4 linked regions of the Saccharomyces cerevisiae S288C genome follow. Changing the gene in region 1 together with any one later gene gives a genetic interaction. Each region holds a gene or a part of one and is shown on either strand. Other genes may lie near its edges. The genes, in order: RGP1, CCW12, INO4 and COG8.

Evidence for each region.
Region 2: mutations in RGP1 (region 1) and CCW12 together harm fitness more than expected from each alone (negative genetic interaction), as found in Saccharomyces cerevisiae (4 studies listed by BioGRID, with this or other methods).
Region 3: mutations in RGP1 (region 1) and INO4 together harm fitness more than expected from each alone (negative genetic interaction), as found in Saccharomyces cerevisiae (4 studies listed by BioGRID).
Region 4: mutations in RGP1 (region 1) and COG8 together harm fitness more than expected from each alone (negative genetic interaction), as found in Saccharomyces cerevisiae (5 studies listed by BioGRID).

The regions. Positions count from the first base shown.
Region 1 is NC_001136.10:724,377-733,408, forward strand, and holds RGP1 (Rgp1p), read left to right. Parts: upstream 1-3,882; coding exon 3,883-5,874; downstream 5,875-9,032. Other genes in the region: ATP-binding cassette glutathione S-conjugate transporter YCF1, read right to left, coding at 1-3,175; HPR1 (Hpr1p), read left to right, coding at 6,202-8,460. UniProt on the Saccharomyces cerevisiae protein: The RIC1-RGP1 complex acts as a guanine nucleotide exchange factor (GEF), which activates YPT6 by exchanging bound GDP for free GTP. It is thereby required for efficient fusion of endosome-derived vesicles with the Golgi.
Region 2 is NC_001144.5:367,680-375,100, reverse strand, and holds CCW12 (Ccw12p), read left to right. Parts: upstream 1-5,002; coding exon 5,003-5,404; downstream 5,405-7,421. Other genes in the region: AVL9 (Avl9p), read left to right, coding at 1-157; mitogen-activated protein kinase HOG1, read right to left, coding at 2,174-3,481; YLR112W (uncharacterized protein), read right to left, coding at 3,891-4,310; YLR111W (uncharacterized protein), read right to left, coding at 4,378-4,710; thioredoxin peroxidase AHP1, read right to left, coding at 5,790-6,320; YLR108C (uncharacterized protein), read left to right, coding at 6,977-7,421. UniProt on the Saccharomyces cerevisiae protein: Component of the cell wall. May play a role in the formation of a tightly packed outer mannan layer, which protects the inner glucan.
Region 3 is NC_001147.6:107,280-114,437, reverse strand, and holds INO4 (Ino4p), read left to right. Parts: upstream 1-2,551; coding exon 2,552-3,007; downstream 3,008-7,158. Other genes in the region: WSC3 (Wsc3p), read left to right, coding at 1-300; YOL107W (uncharacterized protein), read right to left, coding at 1,308-2,336; ZEO1 (Zeo1p), read right to left, coding at 3,800-4,141; SHR5 (Shr5p), read right to left, coding at 4,549-5,262; MDY2 (Mdy2p), read left to right, coding at 5,542-6,180; Rab GTPase-activating protein MSB4, read right to left, coding at 6,250-7,158. UniProt on the Saccharomyces cerevisiae protein: Transcriptional activator of phospholipid synthetic genes (such as INO1, CHO1/PSS, CHO2/PEM1, OPI3/PEM2, etc.).
Region 4 is NC_001145.3:126,304-134,716, reverse strand, and holds COG8 (Golgi transport complex subunit COG8), read left to right. Parts: upstream 1-3,144; coding exon 3,145-4,968; downstream 4,969-8,413. Other genes in the region: DAK1 (dihydroxyacetone kinase), read right to left, coding at 1-1,242; TCB3 (Tcb3p), read left to right, coding at 5,350-8,413. UniProt on the Saccharomyces cerevisiae protein: Acts as a component of the peripheral membrane COG complex that is involved in intra-Golgi protein trafficking.

The sequences.
Region 1 (9,032 bases):
TGTATATGTCATTTGAGAATCTGTTTAGAATTCTACCGATTGGTGTTGTTTCAAAAAACGTCATTGGGGCTCTCAACACAGAGTTTGTCATCAAGTTGTGTAAATATTTGGAGGCATGAATGGTACAAAAAACCCAGAGAACGATTGTCTGGATTAATGTTGCCAGTGCTGAACCAATACCAAGTGCAAAATAAATGGCCAAGTAACGCGCGGCATTTGGATTAGATCCATAGCGGCTATTAACTTCAGACCAATGTTTCAACCAAACGTTACCCATAACAGAGAGGAACATCGATATAACAATAAACAATATGAATACACAAACGCTTTTCGGGTTGCAAGCTTTAGCGTACTCTAGGTAAATGTTCCACTTTACTTTTCCCTGTTCACGATGCTCTCTTTTAGCAATATTTTCATCGTCACCAAAATCGATGCTTCCCAAAGTTGCATCACTGGCCCTCCTTAAACTTATGGCGTCAGAGTTGCCAAAATCCAAATCATTTAATTTCTGCAGTTGTTCCAGCTCTCCTTCTACAGGTATACTACTTTCTCGAACTGAGCTTTCAGAGGAGTCACCGAATTCATTCGACTTACCGTTATTTTTTTTACCATAGTTGTTGAGCAATTTCCATAATGGCGAATCAGCGTCCTTCGTAATCTCATCATATGTACCCTGCTGTGTGATTTCTCCATTATCTAATAATGCAATAGAATCTGCGATGGATAACGCGCTCACCTTATTAGTGGCTAATACCTTCGTTTTTGTATGTAATAAACCATTTGGACCCAACACATGTTCGATCAAGTGCCTGGCAACGTGTTCATCAACAGCTGCCAAAGGATCATCAAGTAAATAAGTGTCAGCTCTCGCATAAACTGCTCTTGCTAAAGACAAACGAGCTTTTTGTCCTCCAGATAAGGAGATCCCTTTCTCGCCAACTAATGTCTTATCTCCATCCATCAAAATTGCAAGATCAATAGTTAACGCACAGGCCTTGATCGTTTTTTCGTAAAATTCCGCGTCGTATCTATGCCCAAATAAAATGTTTTCCTTTACAGTACCATTCATTATCCATGGAACTTGTGAAACATAAGCAACAGAACCATGAACGGTGGCGAAACCTTTAACCCTGAATAGATCACCTAACATGCATGACAATAGAGCTGTTTTACCACTGCCAACTTTACCAACAATACAGGTCAAATTTCCTTTTTTAGCTTGGAAATTAATATTCTTTAAGGCTACTTTGTATTCCGGTTTCCGTTGCCATAAAAAGGTAGCATCATCTCCAATGTTAATGGCTACATCGCCAATATTTTTTACTTTTGGTAAACGCTGAACCGAATCTGGTTGTAGCTCTTCATTGGTAAAGAATGTAAATAATCTACCAATAGAAACAGAAGCTTCGATAAAAGAATTTAAAACCATAGGAATAATCATTAGTGGGAATGAGAGCAGGTTGAACAGAGTCAAAGCAGGGAAAACTAAGTCAGTAGTCAATGCTCTATCCTCAGTATAAACAAATACAGCAAAGGTACAACATGAAACAAGGAATGGTACTATATTGAACTGAAAACTTGTCACAGCCATATAACATCCTAGTTTTGTAAGATTTTTTAACTCTTTGTTATTTCTTACTTCTTCTAGCTTTTCCCTATAAGGCTTCTCCCATGCATATAACTTCAAAGATTTAATATTGTTTAGTATTTCACTTATAACACGGGTCCTTTCATCTTTGTACTTCATCTGGGATTTTTGCAACTTCTTTTGTATCCTCATCAAAAATGAGTTCAATGGCATCATAATAACTAGTATAATCACGCCAACCCACATGGAATTTCCCAACAACTTATACAGAGAATATAAGCAAATAATGATTTGAAAAGGCCCTGACCATATTAAATTTAGCCATTGTGTTAAATCTTGTAATTTTTGAACATCCACACTCATGAGATTGACAATGTCACCGGTAGAGGAAAGTCCAGAAGCCTCATTAGATAGCACTAAGGATTTTTGATATATTAAAGCCGTTAGGGCGCTCTTAATATACATGCCTGTGTTGAAGACATTCAGGAAATATTGATGCAGGACAGATGTCTGAGTAAAGCCCACCAGAAACATAGCAAACGCAATCAAAAACCCTCTTACAATGGGTAATTTTTGTGGGTGGTTATTTTCAAACCCTTGAAGAGAAGAATGGTCATCCTGTCTCTCACTGTTATAGTCTGTGACGAACTTGATTAAAATCCTTAGTAGTTGTGGTTGAGTAAATGCTAGAACATCATGAATTGCTTTAAAGAATGCGGCTAAAAGCATTTTAGATCCAAAAGTTCTGCATATAGCCCATGATAATGAAGGATTTGATTTTTGCTTCAACTCATTTTCCCAGTTTTTCTCCAATTTTTGAGAGAGTTCTTCACTACTAAAGTTCCTCGGTAATTTATATAAATCTGCTTCCACTAAGTATTTTTCATAGCCAGTTTTCATCAAACCTGACATCCAAGAGAAGGTAATCCTGGAAAATATGTTTGCGCTATCGTATGGATTTGGTTTTCTTCTTGTTAAAGTTTGATGTATGTGTTGATGTGGCATTAGCGGCTTCTTTGGAAGAGCTTCAAGTAACAGGATACTGGCACATGTTATTACTTGGAATAACGTTAGTATGAAACCCGTTTGTCCGGAATACCAAATGCCTTCGTAGGTGTGTCTAATTAGAATATTTATTAGTTTAGCAAAATTACCGAATGTTTCAAAAAGCCAATAGAATAAAAGTACCGTATTGGCTACAACTGATCTATCGTATTCTATCCAGTGTAAGGCTAAAGCAACAAATAAAGATAACATTGTAGAAGCATATTGACTTACAATGGTAAAGTTTTCCGCTTCTTCTTTAGAAATATTTAAAGACGCAAGTGAAACAAACGCTATCTCCAACAGAACTAGTGCCATCCTAGAGACAATAATCCAATTCCGCCTATATTTGATGCCAGAGTGTTTTTTCTTGCAAAGGTTAACTAAATCTCTGATACCGAAGGTTATCATGAAAATTGCTGATAGATTTAGGATCACACCGTCGATGAAGCATTGAGTAAAGTCACCGTAAAAGGATATAGGTCCAAACCCTTCAGGAGATCTACAGAGCTTGCAGGCCCATGAAACAAGATTACCAGCCATTTTCTTGTTCTTTACGGTAGTACGATACCCCTAATTTATTCTCAAACTGTTAATTGAAAAATTGTAGGTTGTAAACCAGCTTCCACATAGCAGATGATCACAAGAGGTTATCGCACCTTTTATAGCAGCTGCTAACTTTTTTCATCAATTTCGTAATTACTAAGCCGTAACCTTCCACCGCCCAAGCATCACACCAGGAGTTACATATTTTTGTATTATCATAAAGAAACACACGCCAAGATATCTACAGAAACCAGATGTTAGCATTAGATATATATATTCGTATTGATGCAGCATAACAAGCGTACTATGGATTGCAAAGTAATGTAGATTCCTGACCAGTAGATCTGCTCGCGCAAGAGAAACATTCATGAACTCTAACGACAATAACAGTAAATCCACCTCACGGAGAACGATAAAAGTCTTCATTTCTCCATGAGGTGGAAACGTTGTTTGAATATTAAACATAATACTTGAACTTCTTGTGTAATTTTTATTTTTTAATCGAAGTCTACTCCGAAGTCTCCTATAAAGCGTAAGGCGCGTCTCCAAAGTGCTATTTTTCAAGATCAATTCAGCTTCAAAGAAGCTTTGATACCTACGGGGCAATGCAAAGGCTGCCAGTCGAAACAAACAGCGAAAGCTAGCCCATAATTTCTTGAGCTGTTGATTTTGATTGTGATATTTTTCATACTTTAGAAGAAGATATGCGTGCGCACAGAATCGATACATTTCTCATAAGAGAAAACATCAAACTGGAGATCATACATGAATCGAATTCCTATTTTGGTGGAGAACATATATCAATTGCTTTCCGATTTAAGCACCTAGGCTCACAGCATGAATTGTTCAACTATAAAGAAAAGCTTCTCACTGTCGATAAAGCTGTTGAAGAGAAGTTGGAACAACAAGCGAAAGTGCAAGATGATGGTGAAGGCACGATGGAAAATCAAACCTGGTCCCTAAAATCATTACTAGGTGCCTTCAAAAGAACAGGCGAACCTGAAGAGAGTGTGGATGTGGATAACATGAAAATGCTAAATGAGAGTAAGATGTTAAGAGAAAAAATACAGAAGCAAATGTATTTTCATCAACCTGTAACGTTAATATCCGGTTATGTTCAAATATCGGGGGTCTTTCAATACGATTCAGAGGTAATTTCAGAGTCAAAATTTAAACAAGATGAAGTAAAAATGGTAGGACTAGATATTGTACCTGGACATACGACAAATTCTGTTCTTGCATTGGAAGATGGAGAACATTTCAAAGGTAAAAGAAATTTAACCAACTACCTCAACTCAGATTATACAAATGTGACCAATGGTCTTCTTTTCTCAGAAAGCGGTTCTAGGGGAAGAACAGGTACCTATAACGAACGGACCTTAATGATATCAAACGATACCAGTATAAAAACATTACCTCTTCTTTTAATACCACAGACGCTTTTATTTTCTGAAATTTCTTTAGAACCAGGTGAAGTAAGAACATTCTATTTTAAATCCACAAAGCTGCCAAAAGATATATGCCCAAGTTATTCATCGTCAAAAGTGGCATCAATAAATTACACGCTGGAGGTTGGTGCGGATGTACTTTCTGATGATAATATCGAGAAATTTTCAAATAGAGTCCCAATAACAATAGCACCATATATTAGTTCGAATGCCGAACAGTACACATCACGTCTGGATAAGCCTGCTATCATATTAAAGACAGGTAACATAAAGGAACTAAAGCCACGTTTGTTTACTCGAAAAGTTTCTACGGCTTCTGCTGTATCATTTGGTAGGAGAAAATCTTCTATAATTGACATTGATTCTCCATTAGAAGATAATGAATTTGTCAAGCGTGTCAAAAAAAACTTCATTGAACTGGTGGAATCTAACCAAAATGTGTCAAGAGATATAGACGAACTTATTGACTTGCAAATGGGGGTACAGTTCGGAAAGGATGAGGATTCTTCGGATCCTGAACCCAACGACTCACACTTTTCGAACGAAATGGTGACGTCTGCAGAGTCTAGCCTGAGAAGCGATGCTGTAACTAAGAGGAGAAAAAGTTATTCGGTACGCGATAACATTTCTAACCTCGAGCAAAAGATGTGGAACGATTGTTCTCTCGTTAAGTCAGATGAGAATTCTAATCTTCTACCTCAGCTAATTAATTTACAGAACGCATATCAAATTAACAGAAATAATGAGACTATGGCAAAAGTATCCTTATCAGCACCTTTTTATAAGACAACTGATGATATAAATTTAGTCATTGAATTAGATCCGATAACGACGCCTTTACTTAAAGTGACTTCGTTGACTGTATCCTTAGAATCGTTTGAAATTATAAATCCAAAATATAAGACTGAAGGAAAAGGAATAGGGAGCAAACCAAAAGGAAACTCGGTGTATGAGAAACATTTTATTTGTTTCGATGAGTGCAAGTCCGTATCGGTGAAATTACTTCCTCCAAGATCGCCTACAAACCAGATTACCGGACAATTCAAGACAGATGTTTTTCAACATAAGTGGATGATAGGACTAAAATTTGTAATAATTGCAAAGACAGAAAGTATCACTTTGGATCAATTTTATGAGGATAAAAAGGGCATCCTATTCCATTCAAAAGAGAATTTAGAAGGTGAAGAGTTTACATGTTACGTTCCCATTCCAATACTGTGTACATCCGAAGATTTCATGGGATGGTAAGCAATAAATGGGTGCAGTTTACTCGTATAATTGGTTTTGCATTTGAATCCAATCCAGTAAAGAGGATTTACTATACTCTCTTCATAAAGGGTATGTACAGATACATTTATAAGTTAGTTAACCGGCTTTATTGTCGTAATAGTCATCTCTTGATGTCATGGGTTGCTGTCCGTGCGATTTCAAGACTGCTCATTTCGCACGATGCATATTGCTTCTCTAATGACATTTTTCGTTAGAATGATCAGGTTTTTGCCATAGCTTGATCAGTAAATTAATAGATGATTTTAACAATTCAAGAGGCATTAAAACTTGGGCAAAGGAGTAATAATGTCTAATACCGAGGAATTGATCCAAAACTCAATAGGTTTTCTCCAGAAAACTTTTAAAGCACTCCCAGTTTCGTTTGACTCCATTCGACATGAACCACTTCCATCTTCAATGTTGCATGCAAGTGTTCTCAATTTTGAATGGGAACCGCTCGAAAAAAATATTTCGGCAATTCATGATAGAGATTCTTTGATTGACATTATACTTAAAAGATTCATTATAGATTCAATGACAAATGCTATTGAAGACGAAGAAGAAAATAATCTTGAAAAAGGGTTACTAAATTCGTGTATAGGTCTCGATTTTGTGTATAACTCAAGATTTAATAGATCTAATCCAGCTAGCTGGGGAAATACCTTTTTCGAGTTATTTTCCACCATCATTGATTTGCTAAACTCACCATCTACGTTTTTGAAGTTTTGGCCCTATGCTGAATCACGTATCGAATGGTTCAAAATGAATACATCTGTTGAGCCAGTATCATTGGGGGAGAGCAATTTGATTAGTTACAAACAGCCTTTATACGAAAAGCTGCGCCACTGGAACGATATTTTAGCTAAATTAGAGAATAATGACATCCTTAATACCGTCAAACATTATAATATGAAATACAAACTAGAGAACTTTTTATCCGAGCTACTACCTATAAATGAAGAATCGAACTTCAATAGATCCGCTTCTATTTCAGCTTTACAAGAATCTGATAACGAATGGAACAGATCAGCACGTGAACGAGAAAGCAACCGCAGTTCCGACGTTATATTTGCTGCAGATTATAACTTCGTGTTTTATCATCTAATTATTTGCCCGATCGAATTTGCTTTTAGCGATTTAGAATATAAAAATGATGTGGACAGATCATTAAGTCCCCTTCTTGATGCAATCTTGGAAATCGAAGAGAACTTTTACAGCAAAATCAAGATGAACAATAGGACTAGATATTCCTTAGAGGAAGCTCTGAACACTGAGTATTACGCGAATTACGATGTTATGACCCCTAAATTACCCGTGTATATGAAGCATTCAAACGCAATGAAAATGGACAGGAATGAATTTTGGGCGAATCTACAGAATATTAAAGAATCAGATGACTACACTCTTCGACCTACCATTATGGATATCTCTTTGAGCAATACGACCTGCCTTTATAAACAATTGACTCAAGAGGACGATGATTACTACCGCAAACAGTTCATTTTACAACTATGTTTCACAACAAATCTTATACGCAATTTAATTTCTTCTGATGAAACGAGGAATTTCTATAAAAGCTGCTATTTGAGGGAAAACCCGTTGAGCGATATTGATTTTGAGAACCTTGATGAAGTTAACAAAAAGCGTGGGCTCAATTTATGTTCATACATTTGCGACAATCGTGTTTTGAAATTTTATAAAATTAAAGACCCTGACTTTTATCGTGTTATCCGCAAATTAATGTCTTCTGACGAAAAGTTTACAACCGCCAAGATCGATGGCTTTAAAGAATTCCAAAACTTCAGAATATCTAAGGAGAAGATACCGCCACCCGCTTTTGACGAAACTTTTAAAAAGTTTACGTTCATCAAGATGGGGAATAAATTGATTAATAATGTTTGGAAAATACCTACTGGTCTAGATAAAATTGAGCAAGAAGTAAAGAAGCCTGAAGGTGTCTATGAAGCAGCCCAAGCGAAATGGGAATCAAAAATTTCTTCTGAAACTTCCGGTGGAGAAGCGAAAGATGAAATAATCAGACAATGGCAAACTTTACGGTTTCTAAGATCGCGATACTTGTTCGATTTTGATAAAGTTAACGAAAAGACTGGTGTTGATGGTTTGTTCGAGGAACCCAGAAAAGTGGAAGCGTTGGATGATAGTTTCAAAGAGAAACTTTTGTACAAAATCAATCAAGAGCACAGGAAAAAACTTCAGGATGCTAGGGAGTACAAGATTGGAAAGGAAAGAAAGAAGAGGGCACTGGAAGAAGAGGCTTCGTTTCCTGAAAGAGAGCAAAAAATTAAGTCGCAACGTATAAACAGCGCTTCTCAAACAGAAGGAGATGAGTTGAAGAGCGAACAGACGCAACCAAAGGGAGAAATATCAGAAGAGAATACCAAAATAAAAAGCTCGGAAGTTTCTTCGCAAGATCCTGACAGTGGTGTTGCCGGGGAGTTTGCTCCACAGAATACAACAGCTCAACTAGAAAATCCAAAAACAGAAGATAACAATGCAGCTACTTCGAACATTTCTAATGGTTCATCTACCCAAGATATGAAATAAATTATCCTCTTAATAGAAATTTTAAACTGATAAGAAATTCATGCATAGTGTCCCAAACAATTCAGATAGATTTTAGCGTACCACAGAGATCCTATCAGAGAGTAATACTTATGATGAAAACAAAAGTCAATCCATTCGGTTTAAAAAAATGACAAACCTATATTTGATTAGATTAATCAGGCGTCAATAACGTCCTTAGAAGTCCCTTTGCTAAGACTGATATCGTTGGCAAAAGCATGCTCCGAGTTTAGTATATACTTCCACTTGATAAAGTTGTAGCGCAAAGGATGCTTTTCTTAATGAGAAATTCGGTATACTACAAGAGGACATCCAATCGTGCTTACAAAATTGCCCTGGAAGACATGATTGAGAAGAAATGGCGAAATATGTCTTTTGGTCAGATAGTCTGTAATCGCATATAACAGTATGCTTGGTTTGCTCTTTATCACCACGCTTTTCCTCTCTTTCCAGCGCGAACCATGCAATGGCCAGCTTTATGAAATTTAAACCATAAAGTCATATGAGACCAGCAATCAGACCATATATAGCCGTACTATGCTATAACGGATAAT
Region 2 (7,421 bases), on another chromosome or scaffold:
CAATAAAAATTCCGACAGTAAAACTGATATTTATGAAAACGATAGAAATGTTGAAGACTCATCTAAAACGAGAAATACAGTTAAAAAATCCAATGAGGAGGGCGGTGCGAATGACGCTGCTATAGGTAATTGTGTGCAGGATGAGGAAAAATTATGATATCTATACTATTTGTTAGCAATCGCGCTAAGATATGTTTATATGACAAAAAGAAAATCAAGAAACAGAGCCCTCCAGTTGTGAAAGTTGCAGGGGAAAAAATATCCGTGAATCTCAATACCTTTAGTCGTATTGGGATAATAGCTGAATAATAATTTATAGAAAACTGGGGTGACCTCCACAAGCACAATAAGATTCAGAAATTATAGAATATAGCTTTTTGGGGCTTTCCAAAAATGGAATAGAAAATTTTTTGAAGTTATTCTATTTGCATAGACGCTCATCAAACTATGTTTAAAGATTAACTTCATAGTAATCTTTTGAATGCTTTTTAGCTTCCTAAAGATGAATAACGTAGAAAGTTGAAATATTTAGAAACAATCGCAGTATCCTTGCTAGACCCTCTTTAATATTAATAGTAATCTTGCAAACAATAAAGATAAGTAAAGTTAACGATAAAAGCATCATTTTCAACAAAACTGAAGGGTAGCGACATAATTGTCGGAGCAAAAAAATCTTCCCCGCCAGGACTTGAACCTGGAATCTTCTGGTTCGTAGCCAGACGCCGTGACCATTGGGCCACGAGGAACAAGATTTATTGTTTTTGTTTTATTACGGGCTCGAGTAATACCGGAGTGTCTTGACAATCCTAATATAAACAGTCTTAGGGAAGTTACCAGTTGTCAAAACGGTTTATCAGATTAACTCACGGATGTTACTTATCTTATATATTATATAAAATATGAATCATACTAAGTGGTGGAAGCGCGGAATCTCGGATCTAAACTAATTGTTCAGGCATTTATACTTTTGGGTAGTTCAGCTAGGGAAGGACGGGTTTTGTCTCATGTTGTTCGTTTTGTTATAAGGTTGTTTCATATGTGTTTTATGAACGTTTAGGATGACGTATTGTCATACTGACGTATCTCATTTTGAGATACAACAGTTTTCTATTTTTGAATCTTAGTGTTTTATGCTACGATGTAAGAATTGATAATGTAATGGAATATATGAGCTGCTGTACAAAGCGAAAGAAGAAATAGTGCTATGATTAAGTAAAATTATTGATACCTTTTGCAGAGTCTTATCTTCTTGAGGACTACTCGTAGGTTATTCTGTATACTTATAACCTCTAATAACGCTAAGAAATTGTCTCCATATCAACCTATTTCTCAAAACTCAATAAACTAAGATCCGTAGTTCTGTATAGTACTGAAAGTGTTCCTATTTTGGTGTCGTATGTTGCCATTCATTATTTTTAATAAATGCATTCCCACATCCACGAAATTGAAGACTTTTTGAAATTTGTTCTATTAGACATATGGTTTATATCTTCACTGTTTATAATAAATAGCTCCGTTAGAATTAATGAATGAGAGCATAAATACAAAAAATAGAAAAGATTTTGATATTACATAGAGCTGCTGATTCCTTTTATGAGTTCCTAATTTCTTAAGGAGAAGTTTCTGCCACAGTCCGTGAATGTAATAGTTATCTTCAACAAGAATGAGATTGCAAAAGACTAAATGTGGTAAGTATACGCTTGTCTGGGTGAGACAGCTATTTAGCAAGTTCTCTTTTTCTGCTTCAACTGTTCTATTTTCTGTATTTACTTTTTTTTTATATTTTCTCCGTATTTATGAAAATTCCTCTTCGGTAAAAGCACAGAATTAGACTTGAAATGTAAACAATATAAGACAGACAAACCTTTATCGAAGATAGAAGTGCTGATAAACAAACAATACGCCATAAGTGACGGTTCTTGGAGTCTTAAAAAGGTCTTTCTTGACTTTTTAGTTTCCTTTTTCTTCCAGTTTTACAAGAAAATCCAATGCGGTTAAAACAGAAAAAAATCATGATCGAAATACGTCCACTTTACTTTGTAATTGAGTTTTATCTTTTTTTTTTTGTTTCCTCTATACAACTATATACGTAAATACTTTTATGAGTACCATAAAAAAAAGAAACATCAAAAAGAAGTAAGAATGAGTGGTTAGGGACATTAAAAAAACACGTTTACTGTTGGAACTCATTAGCGTACTGTATGGCCTGGTTACCGTAGTCCGTAATGGTGTCATTTGCAGCTACATGATCGCTGACTTTGTTTCCACCAGCTATATCTGAGTGATCATTTCCAGTAGTGCCAGCGCCATTATGCGAATGCGCAGCCATGTTTAACTGAACTTGAGCCTGAGCCTGAGCCTGTGCCTGCGCCGCGGCAGCGGTGGCTGCAGCAACTTGGTCATCAAACGTGGCAGATATATCAATCTGTCCATCACTGCCACCAATCTTATGGAAGTCTAGGATTTCTGAGTACATCATAACACGCCAGGTATCGACAGGCAGATCAGCGTCATTAAAGTGCCAATCGAACTTGGCATCGGCTACTGGTTCATCCGTTGGATCGTGGTAAGGAGCCGAATAAGGATGAGCCAAGGCATCCGCCGCAGTGATTCTCTTCTTAGGATCAAAAACCAGCATTTTTTCCAAAAGGTCTACGGCATCAGGTTCGACTGTTTTAAATCTTTCAGAAAATGGAATTGGATCTCTGTGTGGTAACGAAGTAACAAATTTTAGAGTATTTTCGGAACAAATAGTATTTATCACATCCTTTGGCGGAGATCCCAACAAGTCAGTGATGATCGAAAATTGGTGAACATGATCTTTCCCAGGGAACAAAGGCTTACCTTCAATCATTTCGGCAAAAATACAACCAGCGGACCAAATGTCGACCTCGACGTCATATTTTTGCCACGTTAGCATGATTTCAGGTGCCCTGTAGTATCTAGTGGAAACATAGCCTGTCATTTGAGGGTCTTGAATTCTTGCTAGACCGAAATCGCAAATCTTCAAATCACAGTTTTCATTAATCAGAATGTTGCTCGGTTTCAAATCTCTATGAATGACGCCCGCGGAGTGAACGTATTTTAAACCCCTTAGAATTTGGTATAGGAAATACTGAACAAATTGCTTTTCCAAGGGTCTTGTTTGCAAGAGTCTATGTAAATCTGTTCCTTGTAATTCCGTGACAAAATATATATCTTCCAATGGAGAAAGAAATATGTCCTGAAGGCAAATCAAGTTCTCGTGTCTTAGATGTTTTAGTAGTTTTAGTTCACGATATGTCCTTTTGGCCAGCACTGCAGTGGAAAAAGGTTTCATGATTTTCTTAATGGCAACTGGCTGAGATGTCAAAGTGTCCGTGGCTGAGCAAACCAACCCAAATGCCCCCATCCCAACGGGGTTTAAATCATTGTATCTATTTGTGATCTCGAAAACTGTACCGAATATCTGTGTCCTAATGAATTCCTCGTTAGTGGTCATTATTATATACGATAGTTGTAGTTTTCCCTGTTTTCCCTTTGTTCCTTTTTTTCGAGTCTAGTATTTACCAATATAGAAGAAAGAGAAAATAAATAAGGTTTCTTGTTAGAGATTAGTTACTTTTGCTATTATTATCGCAAATTCCTCTTCCACTATACAAACAAGAAAGTAATTACTACTCTTATTGTAAGATAGTATGATAATTTCGACGATAGATAATATTTGCTTTTCGTTGGCCTTTTCTTTTTTTTTTTCCTTCCTTCCCTTCGAAGATCCTCCCGTATAATAACGCCGCCAGACCATGTAGGGTAACCAGAGAATACGCCCACTCCGCTTTCGCATGTGGCACTCCTGTATGTCAAAATGCCGAATAATCTCCATCCATGACGAAGCGCTTTGAGGTGTTTAATTATATACAGGGCAAAGTCTTGGAGATAAAGAACGCTTTCCTAACAACTTGCGCTATTCCTCTTATTTCCTTCAATCGATTAAAATTAACTTTTAATCGACATTGTCTTTTAAACCAGGGCAAAGCAAAATAAAAGAAACTTAATACGTTATGCCGTAATGAAGGGCTACCAAAAACGATAATCTCAACTGTAAACAGGTACAATGCGGACCCTTTTGCCACAAAACATACATCATTCATTGCCGGAAAAAGAAAGAAGTGAAGACAGCAGTGCAGCCAGCCATGTTGCGCCAATCTAATTATAGATGCTGGTGCCCTGAGGATGTATCTGGAGCCAGCCATGGCATCATGCGCTACCGCCGGATGTAAAATCCGACACGCAAAAGAAAACCTTCGAGGTTGCGCACTTCGCCCACCCATGAACCACACGGTTAGTCCAAAAGGGGCAGTTCAGATTCCAGATGCGGGAATTAGCTTGCTGCCACCCTCACCTCACTAACGCTGCGGTGTGCGGATACTTCATGCTATTTATAGACGCGCGTGTCGGAATCAGCACGCGCAAGAACCAAATGGGAAAATCGGAATGGGTCCAGAACTGCTTTGAGTGCTGGCTATTGGCGTCTGATTTCCGTTTTGGGAATCCTTTGCCGCGCGCCCCTCTCAAAACTCCGCACAAGTCCCAGAAAGCGGGAAAGAAATAAAACGCCACCAAAAAAAAAAAAATAAAAGCCAATCCTCGAAGCGTGGGTGGTAGGCCCTGGATTATCCCGTACAAGTATTTCTCAGGAGTAAAAAAACCGTTTGTTTTGGAATTCCCCATTTCGCGGCCACCTACGCCGCTATCTTTGCAACAACTATCTGCGATAACTCAGCAAATTTTGCATATTCGTGTTGCAGTATTGCGATAATGGGAGTCTTACTTCCAACATAACGGCAGAAAGAAATGTGAGAAAATTTTGCATCCTTTGCCTCCGTTCAAGTATATAAAGTCGGCATGCTTGATAATCTTTCTTTCCATCCTACATTGTTCTAATTATTCTTATTCTCCTTTATTCTTTCCTAACATACCAAGAAATTAATCTTCTGTCATTCGCTTAAACACTATATCAATAATGCAATTTTCTACTGTCGCTTCTATCGCCGCTGTCGCCGCTGTCGCTTCTGCCGCTGCTAACGTTACCACTGCTACTGTCAGCCAAGAATCTACCACTTTGGTCACCATCACTTCTTGTGAAGACCACGTCTGTTCTGAAACTGTCTCCCCAGCTTTGGTTTCCACCGCTACCGTCACCGTCGATGACGTTATCACTCAATACACCACCTGGTGCCCATTGACCACTGAAGCCCCAAAGAACGGTACTTCTACTGCTGCTCCAGTTACCTCTACTGAAGCTCCAAAGAACACCACCTCTGCTGCTCCAACTCACTCTGTCACCTCTTACACTGGTGCTGCTGCTAAGGCTTTGCCAGCTGCTGGTGCTTTGTTGGCTGGTGCCGCTGCTTTGTTGTTGTAAACTTAGTTTATTATTATTTATACATTCTAAATTTTTTATAAACTTTTTTGGCATTTAACAAATATATAACAATTGGGATTTAGTAGAAATTCTTTTAATTTCTTCTTTTTTTTTTTAATCTATATTTATTCTTTTTCTTTAATTTTGTTCGAAACGCATATAATGTTTTTATTGATTTTGTTTCAGGTTCCTGAACCTCGCGGAGTTCCTATTTTACTGTTGTTTTTTTTCAAAACACAGGGGTACCTTGAAGTATACGCAGTGCCTCTTAGCCAAGGATAATATAAACACACTAGAACAAAAAAAAAATACTCCTTGTACAGAATCGTTTTCTATTTTGAATTTTTTTTATATAAACATGGTTTTATTGTCTATTACATAGCATCTACAAATGAGCCAAGACACTTTCGACTGAGGAAACGGTCACATCGGTACCTGGGTTGGTTTCCTTGGCAGCGTAAGTAACGATACCGTTTTCAACAACCATGGCCCATCTACCACTCCAGTAAACACCGTCACCGACGGCTAATTCGAAACCAATGGATTTGGTGAAAGCACAGCCTGGGTCGGAGGCAAACTTGATGTGTGTGGTGTCCTTAACACCTAAACTCTTAGCCCACGCTTGGTTAGCGAACGGGTTGTCAACAGTAACAACGATCACTTGGTCAACTTCCTTTTCCTTAACTAATTCATCCAAGTAGTTGATGTAACCTGGAATATGGCTGACAGTACAGGTTGGGGAGAAAGCAGCTGGAGCACCGGTAATGATAACCTTCTTGTTTTCAGAAATTAATTTGGACCATTCAACTGTTTGTGGCATCTTACAAGATTCACTGTCAGCATCACTTTGGCTGATAGCAATGTATTGGAATTTGTAGTCGCCAGCTGGGAATTTCTTGTTAACTAAGTCAGACATGTTTTGTTGTGGTTATTGGTAGTACTTGTGTTGTTCTGGTTTGTTGAAATTTCGTTATAAAGAAACGGTATATGCACAATTGGCAAGGGAGAGGAAATTGTGCTCCTTTATATAATGTTTCGTTTATGCTTTTCCCTTACATCTCGTCCTTAATTTTCCACCCCTTTATTTTTCATTTAACCTCTCAACAATATGTGAATACCGTCCGGAAGGGGTGTGGAAAAAGAAAAAGAATGATACAGAAGAAAATCAAAAGATGATATTCAACTTCATCACCAAATACTGACCTTTTTGGCCAGAGCTCCCCGTATAATTACAAATCAGAAAAAATCCGCGCTCACTACCTTAACGGAAGGAAATATTCCACATGTCGGATTAATTTTTCTCTGGTCCCATGACCATGTGCCGAAATCTTTTCAGTGACGTCAGGACCGGTTTTTCCGAGAGCCCCACAGGGGACGCCGATGATTTAGGGTTCTTTTCTTGATTACTAATAGACAACATAAGCGCAATAGATCGAGGCCAAGGTGGTGGTTTATAAATTGTATTACCTTAAAGGCTCATTATTAGCTTGAACACGAATATCCAAAGAACACGAACAACTTCAGGACGTGGATAGACAAGTGTAAAGTCACTCACACGCACGCTCATATCAGATGTCTGGCCAAAAGGGCGAGATCGTGGTTTATACAAAAGAGTTAGAAACTACCCCCGAGCTTTTACCAAACCATGAAGTTTTCAAGATTAGGATTGGCCAAAAGCTATTTGAGATCTCAGGTGCTACATTGAATTCGGATGCGCCCAATTTTTTCACCCAATTCTTCAATACGCACGATAAAAATACGATTCTATTTGTTGATAGATCGGAAGACGTGTTCATCATAATATACAGACATTTACAAGGTTATTTTCCCGATATTAAGAACGAAGTACAATTTACCTGTCTTTTCGCGGACGCATTATATTTTCAGTTACCCAAGTTAGTTAAACTCATAAAAGAATACGACTACCACTTCACTAATATTGGAGGTGTTCCCTTTAAGGTACCAAAATCATTATTCCATGAAGAAGGGAACCGGTTGAACTATTTTGAAACGATTT
Region 3 (7,158 bases), on another chromosome or scaffold:
ATCGGTACAAGTAATATGTATGGTTTTTCTATGAGTAATGGTGCAAATTATAGTAGTCCTAGTTCAAACACCAGTGGAAGCATCATAAACAACTTGGCTGGCTTACAAGATGCTACGGTTCAGAAACAGAACCTTCCATCGACAGTTTTTGAAGAGGCAAATACTTTGAATAGTGCAAATGAAAGGTTCAGTGCCAATTCTTTACCCGACATGATGATGAGCGGACCATTGCAAGTGGTAAACCCTGATAATCCTGATAATCCTGAATTATCTAGTACCGTATCTCATAATCGAGCCTGAAAAACTCGCATAAACTCTCAACATTAATGGTAATCAACTGGTTCTGCTGGACGGAGCCATTCTAAATCATTAACTTTATAATATCATGTTTTATACCCTAATATTTAAACAATTTACTGCTTTTGGCACTTCAACTGTTAGAAAAAGAACAATAATATTTAGTATTTAGTTTCATTTTTAAATTTTCTGATTCACTTCATTTGCAGCTTCTAATGATGTTTGTGGTACAAAAATATAAACAATTTTAAAATATTAAAAAAAAATGCTTCCAATCGGATTTGAACCGATGATCTCCACATTACTAGTGTGGCGCCTTACCAACTTGGCCATAGAAGCTAAATCTCTGAAAGCTGCGCTCTTCAAAGGCGAACCAAGCAAGATAAATTAATATTATTATGTAAAACTATCGTTTTCCTTTTGTTGATTCCTATATCCCGGAGAAGAACTACTAATTATCAAATTATTCACCAAATGATCAAATTTAGCAGCGTAGTGAGTGCCACTATGTAGATGTTGGAATAAAAACCAACTATCGTCTATCAACTAGTAGTCATACTATCAATATATTATCATATACGGTGTTAGATAGTGACATAAGTTATTATAGAAGCTGTCACCGAAGTTAGAGGAAGCTGAAATGCAAGGATCGATAATGTAATAGGATAATGAAACATATGAAATGGAATGAGGAATAATCGTAATATTGGTACATAGAAATATAGATTCCATTATGGGGATTCCTATATCATCGAGGAGAACTTCTAGTACATTCTGTATACCTAATATTATAGCCTTTATCAACGATGGAATCCCAACAATTATTTCAAAATTCACCCATTTCTCAGTAGAATTATTAATATTGGGGAATATATGGGTTTCTATGGTTCGATAGTACTGGCGCACATTCAGCATACAAATCCTACTACCTTGGTAAAGACCGAAATGCCAACAGCCGTCATTAAATCACGATATAATAGAGCATATTTCAAGTTATATAGATCCATATATCAAGGGTTTACCATACGCTCTTCCAAAACTTGTAAAGCTAACTGTCTTCGTCTTTCTTCTACAGTCATAATTTTTTTGGCGCCTCTACTTTCTGCGATGGTGTTCCCAATATCTATATCAATATCATGAAAAGGTTTAATGACTTTAAATTTTACAACAACTACATTATAAATGAAATTGAAAATCGGCCTCAAAATCGGCTTAATTAGATCAGGAAAGAAGTAAATCAATTGAAAAGTATCAGATGCATCGCCGACCAATATTTCCTGACCACCTTGAGAATTAGTTGTTGGCAAAGAGGGACAATTCAAGGGTGCAAGTTTCTGGAAAAACCTCAAGTACGACCAACTGGCAAAAAAGGTAACCCAAATGGAGAACAATTGAGCAAAATGATGAAACCATATTATTTGGGTTACCGTCATTGTAAACATTACAAAAATGGGTAGTAATTTGAACCTAAAGTTTTTGGCCAAAAATTGAGGTGTCTTCAGATGGATTATAGTTGTTTCAGGCAATAACTGTCTATAAATGATAGGGAAACCGATTAAAATTGTGTAGTTCCCGTCTAAGGGAATATCCAGCCTTACCTTATTAGAGAAAAAAGATACTAACAAAGTCAGCATGATGATCAGAACGTTTGTAAGAGAACCTAAAACTATGATAAATTTGAACATTTCTTTGGAAGAGTTCCAATTGCGTTCAATGAAGGATCCACCAATGATCAAATTCAATAAGTTCACTACCACCTTCCAAGCTTTAGTGTCGATGAAGTTGGATAGAACTAATGAGGTGGGGTACCTCCAAATCTGCGAAGGTACCATTTGCAAAAGCGGCGAAGTAATCAAGTTGTAGTCCAAGTTAGGGTCTTCAAGAACTAGCTTGTTGTACAAGGATCTCCTTATACAGAAAAGGGTTGCAGTTAAGCATATATAAGTGACTGTAATAAATTTAGTAGCATCAGGAATCTTATTGATATTTAAAAATGAATCCGGGATATTCAATTCTAGGAACCTCGAACTATATTGCATTATAGTGAACAAATATCTTTGTTATAAATAGATTAGTCGTCTTCTTTTTCTTGGCTTGGTTTGTATGAGCTTGTTACGTATCAAACAAAATATTCACATGTTTTTCTCACCTTAAAGACAGAGGCGCGATTGCGTTTGCGAAATTCCAATGCCAACAAGATAAGCTTGACGAAGGAGTTAAGAGGGCGGCTTGAACTAAAAAGAGAAAAGCAATAATGACGAACGATATTAAGGAGATACAAACAATACAGCCGGGATTGTCCGAGATTAAGGAGATAAAGGGTGAACTGGCTAATGTGAAGAAAAGGAAACGCAGGTCTAAGAAGATTAATAAATTGACTGATGGTCAAATACGTATAAATCATGTTTCGTCTGAAAAAAAAAGGAGAGAATTGGAAAGAGCTATATTTGACGAACTGGTAGCAGTAGTACCTGACCTGCAACCCCAGGAAAGTCGGTCAGAACTAATCATATACCTGAAAAGCTTGAGTTACTTAAGTTGGTTGTATGAAAGGAATGAAAAGCTGAGAAAACAAATCATAGCTAAGCATGAGGCAAAAACCGGCAGCAGCAGCAGCAGCGATCCCGTACAAGAACAAAATGGAAACATTCGGGATTTAGTACCGAAGGAGTTAATTTGGGAGCTGGGTGATGGACAGAGTGGTCAGTGATTCAAGGAGTAGGGTAAAGTAAGTAATATAAGCGAAGAAATTCTTCCCATACCTTTTCTTCACTTTGCAGAGGGGAGTGGTGCATATCCCACAAAGAAAAGTAGCAACAACAATGATATATATACGTTACTACTAATGCTTTCCTTCATCGAAAGTGTGCCGAAGTATTTATTTAATCTTTTAGTGTTCAACTTACTATAATGTGATACTTTTTCAATATTGTTTGCCGTTGAAGCGATAGTGCTTTATGTCATTTTATCTTTCTTTTACATTGTTTTATTTTAGAGCTAAAATTGAACATCAGTTTGCAAGAAGTCAGTTGGTTGGCCTTTGCTATTAAGAGACCATAATGTTATAGTGATTGAGATCAGTTTCACCAACTAATAACAATTAACCCGGGCGGTTAGTGTAGTGGTTATCATCCCACCCTTCCAAGGTGGGGACACGGGTTCGATTCTCGTACCGCTCATATTTTTACTTTCTTATCAAACTTTTTTTCCTCCGGGACGTGAAATAACCGCCGAGGTTATTCTCGGAGCATTCTTTTTTGTGGCTTTTGATCATCCATCATCATCATCATCATCATTATTACTACTACTACTACTACTACTATTATTATTATTATTATTATTATTATTAGTATTATTATTATTATATTGATTAGTTATTAGATAGATACAATTAAGAAAAATTTATGTAAAAGGTCAGAATAAACAGCATTTTTCTCCTCTTTTTTTATTTTTAAAAAAAGAAAAAGAAACTTCTAGTAAAGTGCAGCACATTCAAGTGTGATTAGTTGAAAATGGAAGCAATTTTACGGTTCAATTTCTTCAAGAAACCGCCTTCCTTCTTGGTTTCCTTCTTCTCACTGACGGCGGCGGAAGCTTGCTTCTTAGTTTCTTCAACTTTGTTGGCAGCTTCGGTCTTCTTTTGTTCGACACCATCAGCAATGTTTTGTTCTTCCTTCTTCACCTGTTCAGCTTCTGGAGTAGCTTCATTTTTTAGGTTGTCGATAGAAGCTTCAGCTTGTTCCTTTACTTCTTGGCCCTTGTTTTGCAAAGATTCTTTGGTTTCTTCCAACTTTTGTTGGACATCTTGGGCGGCAGTTTCAGCTTTGTTTTGAATTTCAGACATTATTAATTGATATAAACGTAGTTTTGTATGTTTCTTTGATTTGAACTTTTAAGTATACAGAGAAAAAAACCGATCAAAGAAAACTAAAGTATAATGAGGTTAAAAACGAAAGTAATAAAGTAGAAAGGCTATCAAGCAAACTGAGATGATCTTCGACGTAAAAACTCGCTCTATATATATACGCCATATAAGCCCATCGGCGATGGGGGACAACACGAAGAAACAAGAGAAGAGGAGAACCGCACAGAAAGCAGCAGAAACAGAGCAAACCAGCATTAACTAAAGATGATAAAAATAAAATTAGGTAAGAAACCTTAATTGGATATACAAAAATACACTGGAGGCACAAATCGCCATCGATATAAAACACGATAAAGCCCTGGTGCACCCATAAACCACACGTTTAACTATTTGGGTCGGGGCACGACGAAATCTAGGGATAGGCACCCGGACCGTCGGGGCAATACTAGGCGCACACCGCGCTCGTGAAGCAGACCTCCCGGCGAGTTTAGCTGCGCCACGTACTGCTCTAACGCGAGAGACTCCTGAAACACAGGTCTAGAAAGAAGGGGCCCCAAAACCCAGCTCCACAGACCGCCCGTAAGCATATCGAGCAACAGGCCACTTAAGTTACGCCACCCGAACACCTCACCTTCTTCACGCAGCAAGAATCCGTTTACCCGGTGCACAACCTCCGCGAGCTCTGCCGCACTAAGATATTCTGACAGAGGCGAGACGGAGGAGCAGCCAAACACGTGATCCCCAATGTCGTAACGCCCGCACCGCACAAAGCTAGTGCCATCGTCGCCCACGATTGCCGCCGGCTCGCTACCGGGAAGCTGTGTACTAAATTGTGGCGTTTCAAGGCTGCTGCGAGACTCATCGAACCGCCGGGGCACTCGTACCACCCGGGTCACCTGGAACTCGGCAGAGCCCCGAGCAGCATACACATTCGGGAAATGTGTAATACACAATTTGTGGTCTTCGTCGTGCTCTGTGGGTTTAGCGTCTTCGGAACCGAGGTCTTCGTAGAATGAATACGAAAACTCATGGTAATTAAAAAATAACGCCCTTTCGCTCGTATTTGCGTTATCTTCTTCCTTTTGATGGCTATCGCACATCTAGTAAGGGTTAGATTGAGTATTGTCCTCTAATGTAACTTTTTCCTCTTATTCCTCTCCTCCCCTTAGCTATTATATATCTTTTTTACCGAATCTTGAATTAGGAATAGTTTTAAAATCAGGCCGGAGGCCGAGCTTGCGACAACTACGACCAAAAAAAACAAAGGAAAAACGAAAAGAAGAAAACATGCACAGGAGAACATAGTTGGAGAAAAGGGTTAGAACAGACCGATACAGAGATAAACTAGCGAAGAATAATAACTTTATACAAAATTAATCATGAGCACATCCGCCAGCGGTCCAGAACACGAGTTCGTTAGTAAATTCTTGACCTTAGCCACTTTAACTGAACCGAAGCTACCAAAAAGCTATACTAAACCTCTGAAGGATGTTACCAATTTGGGTGTCCCGTTGCCTACTTTGAAGTATAAATATAAGCAGAATCGTGCCAAGAAGTTAAAACTGCACCAAGATCAGCAAGGTCAAGACAACGCCGCCGTCCACTTAACCTTAAAGAAAATTCAAGCTCCCAAGTTCTCCATCGAGCATGATTTCAGCCCATCAGATACTATCTTACAAATAAAACAGCACTTGATCAGCGAGGAAAAGGCCTCCCACATAAGCGAGATAAAACTGCTTTTGAAGGGCAAAGTCCTCCACGATAACCTGTTCTTATCGGATTTGAAGGTCACGCCTGCCAATTCCACAATCACAGTCATGATTAAGCCGAATCCGACTATATCTAAGGAACCCGAAGCCGAGAAATCCACTAACTCCCCTGCTCCTGCTCCTCCACAGGAACTCACTGTGCCCTGGGATGATATCGAGGCTCTTCTGAAGAACAATTTCGAGAACGATCAGGCTGCGGTTAGGCAAGTCATGGAGCGTCTACAAAAAGGCTGGTCTCTGGCCAAATAAGATTAGTATAGTTAGTACGTACATACTTGTTATTTTACACAGTTGCGCTTTTTATCACGGTTGCGCTTACTATTTTCTTCTTTCCTTTGGGCGGCTACTCGCCCTTTGTCTATTTCTCGCCATCGCCACATACTCTCTACCGCGATCAATCTTTTCCTGGGTAATACCATTCAACGCAACCTTCTTCTTCATCAGGACTTTCTCAAAGATATCATTCGGATTGAGCAATCTTTTTGGGAAATTTTGAATCACTTGCAAAATCTCCATATCTGCCTCTTCCTGCGTCTTAATCTTGTTCTTTAATCTTTTGAAAGTTGAATCAGAGTCATTACTACCACCGAAGGTGTACGAAGAGTACTGTCTAAACAGTTTCTGGCTTTTACTCTCCAAAAACTCGCTTTCGCTCAATTTCAGTATCCCCAAAGCCACTTTAAATAAAAAATGAGACTCTTCATAGAATAAACAGTCCCATATTCTCAGGGTCGTTTCGATGGGCACCACGCCCACAAAACAGCTCATAAACCAACTTGCCGTACACAGCGTCAGCGTAGGCAGCCTGCAGAGATATTCTTCCCCCGATGCTGGCCCTGATATCTGGTCAGTGCTGCCATTGCCATTCATATACGATGACTCAATGTGTGACCATATCTCGGGTAAATATTCCTTGATACATAACACCAACACCCCTTGATCCACGTTCGCACCCTCTAAGTCTGATTCATACACGCCAGGTAAATACTTACCGGTAATAATAACCAGCATCCAAAATGCTTTCTCTTCTTCCATGAACAATAATAGCAATCCAACGAGAAAATTCATCGATTGGCAGTATCCAATAGTCTTGTCATAAACAGAAAAGGCCATTAATACTCGACGCAATGATCGGATGATCGCCGGCTCTCCATTTTGGAAGGACTCCTTATGGAAATGTATATTATCGGGAAACGTTCGATAAAGATCCCGTTCTATAGCTTCCAT
Region 4 (8,413 bases), on another chromosome or scaffold:
ACCAACTTGATTGTCTAGTTCCGTAATGTGCGGTTCGCTCTTGATAACTTGTTCAGCACCACTCTTCATCCACTCAGCAAACTTGTCAAAGTCATAGGTACCGACGGCCTTTGCTGTTACTTCATTATGTAACAAGTCATCGTTAACAGATGGGGCAGAAGTCTTTTCAAAATCTGCAATTGGCCAGCCCGGTGCGTTCGTAAATGCGTTCAACAAGTCTAGTACTGATTTGATCTCCTCAAAATCAGATTGCAAAGCCTTTGTAGCCTTAGTGGCGTTTAGTAATGTGATACTGAACCCATTACCATTGAAGGAGGTCATCAATGTGCCAGCAATTGTTTGAACCGGGGTTATGTTGTAATTTTCCTTTAAGAAATCCGTAGTTTTGGAAGTGATAGAACTAATAACAAAATTAGAAACACCGCCGAGATTGTTAACTAACAAGACAACTTCATCATCTTCATCAAACTTTACAAAAGCTCTATCCTTATCGTTTGGATCCAATAGTTTTGGTAGCATATACTTGGAGATCAAGTCTTCGGTAGAAGGAATAGGGTCTAAAACTTTCACACCAGGTTCGTTATGAATACCCATACCCAATTCCATTTGTTTTTCGTTTAATTCACTTTCGAATTTCCTGCCAGGAACTTTACAATGGTCTAAAGAAGATCCAATGGTCACCAAATTGTCGTTGATAATTTTAGCCACTTTAGCTGTACCGTCTAAGCCATACTTACTAGAATATTCTTCTGCGAAGGCACCTACAATCTTATGAACCAAAACGGTACCTGCCAATGCTCTTCTACCAACCATACCACCCTTTTCTCTGCCAACTGCAACATCATCACCTATGACAGCAACGCGGCAGTTAATACCCAAGGCTCTTGCTCTCTCAGCGGACAGACCAAAATGCAAAACATCACCTGTGTAGTTCTTCACAATCAATAAAACGCCAGACGCATTTTCATTGACTAAACGGATTGCATTTAAAATCTGTTTTGTTGAAGGGGATGCAAAAATTTCGCCAACCACGGCGCCACTCAACATACCCTTACCAATGAAACCGGCGTGTGTAGGTTCATGTCCACTACCACCACCAGAAATTAATGCGATCTTGTCGGAATCGGTCTTTCTGAAGAGAATTTTTTCTTCAGGGACCAGCGTAATGGAGGGGTTAGCAAGGGCAAACCCTTTGAGACTTGAATTGACTGGATCTGTGACTTCAAACGATTTAGCGGACATTTAAAATTTAGTCTTAGATATAGAATGTAATCTTATTCTTTGATGTGTTCGTTTACAGTTGCTACAAATAGTGACTACTTGTAGCGAAGTTGAAGTGATTTTCTCCTTATATATTTATTCATCAGTTAGTTCGACAGACGCTCGCGAGGTGGCCACTCTTTCAAAATGACGCAATTGGGAGTGGTTTGATCTTTCTCCCTTAGAAGCCAAATTGGCAAGCACTCACTCCGGGCCAGATTTACACCATGTTTGTAGCGCATTTAAATCAGGAAATGCATTATATTTCACTCTCTCGTCTAGCGAGTCTTAATGTTCATGACGGGGGAGCTTTATGCCTTGTTTTTTATCACAGCGCCAGACAATTGACAGTAACAAATAAAGGCAAAAAACCCTTGAATAGCACCAGAGGTGTTTACTGATTGCTTTTAAAGTACGTATAAAACTGTAAAATATAGATTAAATTCGACCGCCATTACTTTAGAGTTGAAATTGGGAAGCCGTATATTGCCATTTCAGCCATGCTTCTATGGTTCCTAATGGAAGCATGAATGACATACGCAATTTGATGAGCTTGAAAAGGGCGTAATTGACAAGCCAGATTTGAATCTAATCCCTTGAGAAATTATCTGCAAGTAGTAAAAAAATCTCTAAAAGATGTATAATTGAGTCGCCTAGAGACCTCATTCATCATGATATTTGACACCTTAATTTTGATAGTAGCGGGTCAGTCATTAAGAAGAAAGTGAGCTGGGGCTAATCATCAACGATCTCCCATAATTACGTACGTCAAAGACAACACGTTGGCAAAGGTAAGAAGAACGTAGTGCGTATCATGCTTACGGTGAATTTCACCCTTTTTTTCTGTTATTCGTGCTGATCCACGGGGTATTCAATTGAAGATATTATCTTTATCATCATATCGGTAAGCGTCTGGGAGAAGCAACTGGTCAAACGTTTTCAAAAACCATTCTTTAAACAACAAACCGATCAATGTTCTTGATCAGCTTATCAATCTATCCGATCTCCTGCGTTCAGCGTGACCGCCACACTTATGTCTAGATAATTTAACTTCCAGTTGCTAATTTCCCGCTAAAGTATCTTATGTTTACCATCACTGTAGCCGCCCTATCATATGCAACACTTCCATACTCATTTTCGGAATAAGAAGCAACTATCATCTAACGACTAGTATTTATATTACTGGTATATTACCATATTGGGTATAAGACGGTCAAATAAATATTGAGAAACAGTCACCAATTTTAATGGAAATTGAAATGAAAGGGTTGATAATGTGCTAGGAAAATGAACGAGAACATACAAAATGAAAGAAGAAATAATAATATTCCTACACAGAAATATCGGTTCTCTATTGTGGATTTTCATATTCTCGAGGAGAACCTCTAGTACATTTTGTGTATCTGGTATCACAGCGCTTGACAACTATAGAATTTAAACAATTATCTCATTCTTCATCCATCACTCAATCATATATATTAACCCCGGAAAAGTGCATTTTTGGTTTCTAATAACATTTGTATTAGTAATATTTGTTTACCCAACAATTCAAGAAATTTAGCTCGCGTGGCGTAATGGCAACGCGTCTGACTTCTAATCAGAAGATTATGGGTTCGACCCCCATCGTGAGTGCTTTGTTTCTTCTTTTTTGAATATGCTAATTCTAAATTTATAGGAAGAGTTGGATTTTCCTTTAGTTAGTTGTACTCTTGAAGTCCATTTTCTTTTTATACGTACATTAGATCGATCTCGCGATCATGGCTTCAATGTCTAAAAATATAGCGTAGTAACATACTGAAAAGAGAAGCACAGAAAAAATAATCATAGAAGTGTTAGGACATTTGAGGGAACATATTTCAACAATAAACATAATCATTGAGTAAAATGGAGCTGATACTAAACAGCCTCATTTCTGATGATTTAACAGAGGAACAAAAACGGTTAAGTCTTGATTTCCTACAGGATATCCTACAATCTAACACGAAAGACTATGAAAGTTATTTTTCATCTAGGGCTGTTCCTGGTAGCATAACTGAAGACATAGCAGAAATTGATGCTGAATTATCTGCCCTTGATAGAAAGATAAGGAAAACACTACTAGATAATACGTCTCAGATTATCGGAAATATTCTTGAAAACGATGATAGGGCTCAATTGGATGATATAGCCAAGTCTTTGGAGCAATTATGGGAATTGGATACTAATATTAATAAGGCAGCCGATCGAAACGTTACAAATGACGATATAAACAATGAAAGCGTTTCTATTGATGACTTTTTGGAAGACGATAAAGAAGACAACGACACAGGTCGCATCATGACGACTGAGAGTAACAATCTGGCAAGAAAGAAGAAGGAGGATGAGTTTCACAAGGCATTAAGTAGGTTAAGAAACAGAATTTCAACTAAAGAAGATGACAAGGACGACATTAGATCTGACACATTAGTCACTGTACTAGAAAATTTGGATAGCATTACGGATTTGATGGAACTACCATTTTTGGCCCGCACATGTATCAGAACAGGTCATTACCAGGAGGCCGTCATGCTATACACACACACTACTTCCCTGAGGTCAAGATTCCCTGGTTCAACCATTGTGGATGAAGTTTGCGAAAAAGTTTTAAACGAAATTAGTACTACCATGTTATCCGGGCTGGTAAAATTACTGTCTACTAATGTATCAGTAAACTCACTAAAGAAAATACTACAGTACTTGAATTCAATTCCACCATTTGATGGAAAGACTAATAAATCATTATTAAGTGTGTTTTTAGCCATGAGATACAAATTCATTACCGATGAAATAGCATCATATCCTTTGGACGTTGAGTCTTCTAATGAATCTTTAATTGAAATGATGGTTAAGAGGAAAATTGAAGTCCTCAGGGAACATGTCTACATGTCCTTGAATGTCTTTCTGAAAAGCTTCTTGTATGATACAAATGACTTAGAGATTCCTTTCCCAGAGGAACTAGAAAGTACTGTGCTAAGGATAAATGGGACTAACGAAGAGAAAGAAATTGAAGAAAAGGAGAAAGAAACAAAGAAGGAAGAATATCAAAAACAAGATAGCGTAGCGAACAATGAAGAAGATGTGACAGAAAATAAATCGATAGAAGATGTACAAGAGGAAGTACAAGGCAAAGTGGAAGGCGAAGATGATGGAGCAGAAAGGAAAACAGAAAATGAGATAGAAAATGAAACAGTAAACAAAACAGAAGACAAGGCTGAAAAAGAAAAAGAGGAAGAAGTAAATACCAAAGATAACAAGGCAGAAAAAGAGGAAGAAGAAATTAATAAGGTTGAGGTGACCCCAGAAGAGCCAAGCAAAAGCATAGATAACAAGGCAGAAAAAGAAGAAGAAGAAATTAATAAGGTTGAAGTGACCCCAGAGGAGCCAAGCAAAAAGATTCGGACTTCAAAAAGGGAAAACAAAATACCTACAAATGCAGTCATGTTGCAATTCGTTGATAAGTGCATAACATACGTATTAAAAGACCTCACTCGTGGGTTAAATAGCATCAAGCTGAGTGACTCCGTTTGCCTGCAGTTGGTGTACTGTTCATTCCGTCTTTGCGACCTGAATCGAAACTACCACCACCTCTTCCTAAAAAAAATCAATGACACTAGCTTGTTTACGACCGAGCAGCTCGCCCGGGCAATTGACAAGAGAGCAGAACTGGCCTCTAAATATATATACTCCTAGTATAATATTGGCTCACTATGTATTTTCAAAATGACGATCGTCCGAAATTTCCATTTTTTTATTTTTTTTTTTCACTTCTTCGCCAGCGCGAGAAGGGGGAGAAACAACAATACGAGAATGTATGTATACCTTTACAACACACTGCTGCAGTCAGAAAGGGAAAAAGGGATAATTGTACCTTACATCCTTTAGAATTGCACTTACCTTTTCCAATTGCGATACATTTCACTTTGATAGACAACTTTGCTTTTTAGCGTTACTTAATTTAATCAGTTTTCTTCTTAACAATATAAAGAGCATCATTAGCTAGCTTTGTTTATTGACATACGCAATATTGCTAGAAAGAAAATAAGTAGAGCTACGCATTGAAAGTCAAGAAAAATGACTGGCATCAAAGCTCAAGTCCATCCCCCACCTGATAGTACCCTATTTCATGAGGAGGAGAAGAAGAAAGTAGGAGGCAATTTACCTCAAAAGGTCATAAATCAACAAGAAAGGGGTTCTGATCACGCTCCATCGGGTCACCATCAATACCACCAACTGATTAACCATGACGCAAATGACACAAAGACCTCAAATTCAGTTTCTGATGTGTCTAAAGGTCAGAAAACTGCTGACTCCAACCCGGAAGGTAAGAAACAGTCATCAAAAGACATATTTGTTGCCTCCAGCGCTCAAAAAACCAATCAATTGCCCGGTCCCAACCCACAGGGAAGCATAGGAGCCGTGCCATTGGAAGGTTTACGTCCGAAGGAATTCAGATCAGCACCATCTAGGAAGCCAAATAAATTCGACACTTCGATTACTAAGCCTGGCGTCTTAGACGACTTAGGCAAACTTGATGAAAAGGATATTAAGGAAAAATTTCACCTAGATTCCGACGACAAGTTATTTCCATGGCAAAATGTTGGTGAGTTCCATGCTTCAGGAAAGGGTTCGCCAAATACAAAGATGTCCAGGGTTATAAAAGCTTACATTCTGGAAAATTTTTATAACGATTGGTACTGTAATATAGCCACCGTTCTTGGAACTTGTTTCTTCTCATGGTTATTTGCTTACATTGGGTTTTCATGGTGGTCTATGATATTTATCTTCTTGGGAACTGCGACCGTTTACAACGCAGAATATACAAGATTCAACAGAAATATCAGAGATGACTTGAAAAGAGTTACAGTCGAAGAAACCTTGTCGGATCGCGTTGAATCCACTACGTGGTTGAATTCATTTTTATCAAAATTTTGGGTGATTTACATGCCAGTTTTATCTCAACAAGTCAAAGATAACGTTAACCCTCAACTGGCAGGTGTTGCTCCAGGTTACGGTATCGATGCGTTAGCTATCGATGAATTCACTCTGGGCTCTAAAGCTCCCACCATAAAAGGTATTAAATCGTACACCAAGACTGGTAAAAACACTGTTGAAATGGATTGGTCATTTGCATTCACCCCAAGCGATGTCTCGGATATGACAGCTACTGAAGCTAGGGAGAAGATCAATCCAAAAATATCTCTGGGTGTCACGTTAGGAAAAAGTTTTGTCTCTAAAACAATGCCTATTTTGGTTGAAGACATTAACGTTGCTGGTAAAATGCGTATTAAAGTTGAATTTGGTAAAGCTTTCCCAAATATCAAAATTGTTTCTTTACAACTTTTAGAACCACCTTTGATTGATTTCGCACTGAAACCAATTGGTGGTGATACTTTAGGTCTTGATGTTATGTCATTCTTGCCTGGTTTGAAGAGTTTTGTTAAAAACATTATCAACTCCAATATAGGGCCTATGCTATTCCCTCCGAACCATTTGGATATTAATGTTGAAGACATTATGGCTGCTCAATCAAAAGAAGCTATTGGTGTCCTTGCCGTAACCATTGCTTCTGCCGACTCTTTGAAAGGCTCAGATTTCATTACCAATACTGTCGATCCTTATATTGTTATGACTACCGAAGATGCTGTGCCTGGTACAGATGAAGAAGTGCGTACATCTATCAAATCAAATGTTAAAAATCCACGTTGGAACGAAACCAAATATCTATTATTAAACACCTTAGAGCAAAAGTTAAACTTAAAGTGCTTTGACTTCAATGATGTAAGAAAAGATACCGTAATTGGTGATCTTCAACTTGACTTGGCAGATTTACTACAAAACCCTGTTTTGGATAATCAAACTGCTGAATTAAGATCCGGTACAAAATCAAAAGGTATTTTACATTATTCCTTACACTGGTTCCCTGTGAAAGAAGATAAATCAGAGGAAAAAGCAGTTGAGCGTGCCGAAGCTAAGGCCAAGGGCAAGAAAGAAGATGAAAACGAGGACACTACTGAAAAAGAAGAAGACGAGAATGAAGAAAGTTCTCAAACTGATGTCGGGATTGCCAAGATCACTTTACAAAAGGTCAAATATCTGGATACAACCAGTTCTATGACCGGTAGCTTGAGCCCATGTGCTGAATTATTCATTGATGGACAAAAAGTAAAGAGCTATAGAACTTTGAGACGTATCAATGAGCCATCTTGGAATGAGACCATCGAAGTTTTGGTTCCATCAAAATCTAACTCTAAGTTTGTCCTAAAAATATTCGATGACAGAATGAATGGTAAGGCGCTGATCTGTGAGTATTCATCTTCTTTAGATGATATAATGACTACTTTAGACACTGCTCAAGAGTTTGTTAAAGGCTCACCACAAGGTGACATTTATTTGGATGTTTCTTGGAAATCAATTGAAATGACCGGAGCTTTTGCCGCTGCAAACTCTGTAAGCGAACCTATTGGTTGTATTAAGCTAGACGTTAAGGATGCCATTATCAAGGGTGACTTATCCGGTGTAGGGGATGTTGATCCATATTACACCGTATCGTTGAATAGACGTGTTCTTTACAAGTCCATATATCATTCTGATACGGATCATCCCATTTTTGACAACAGCACCTACGTTCCTATCTTCTCTCCAAATCAAATTTTGACTCTCGAATTTCATGATTATCAAAAGATCGGCAAAGACCGTTTCATTGGCTCTGTACAAATTCCTACATCAAATGTTTTCAAAAAAGATCCTAAATCAGGAAAATATGTTGGGAATAATGGCAAAGAAGAAATTTCAAAACTAAAATTAAAAGACCACGAACACAAAGTTACCGAAAGCATTGTCAATGTTTCAACAACATTTATCCCAATCAATCTGGTGTATTCCCCTGAGGAGTTGGTGAATGTTGAGAAACTAGAAAAGGAGTTGAAGGAAAAGAAGAAAAAATTCGAAGCTACCCAAGAAGAAAACGAGCAAGAGATGGAAAAAAATCCAAAGGAATGGGAAGTTGCCGAGATCGAAGACCCATTTGACAGCGATGAAAAAAAAATAAACAGGAAGGCCAAGTTATCTTTAAACGAGTTGATCAAGCAAAAATCTGGTATTTTGTCTATGCAAATATTGGAAGGGACTTTGAGCC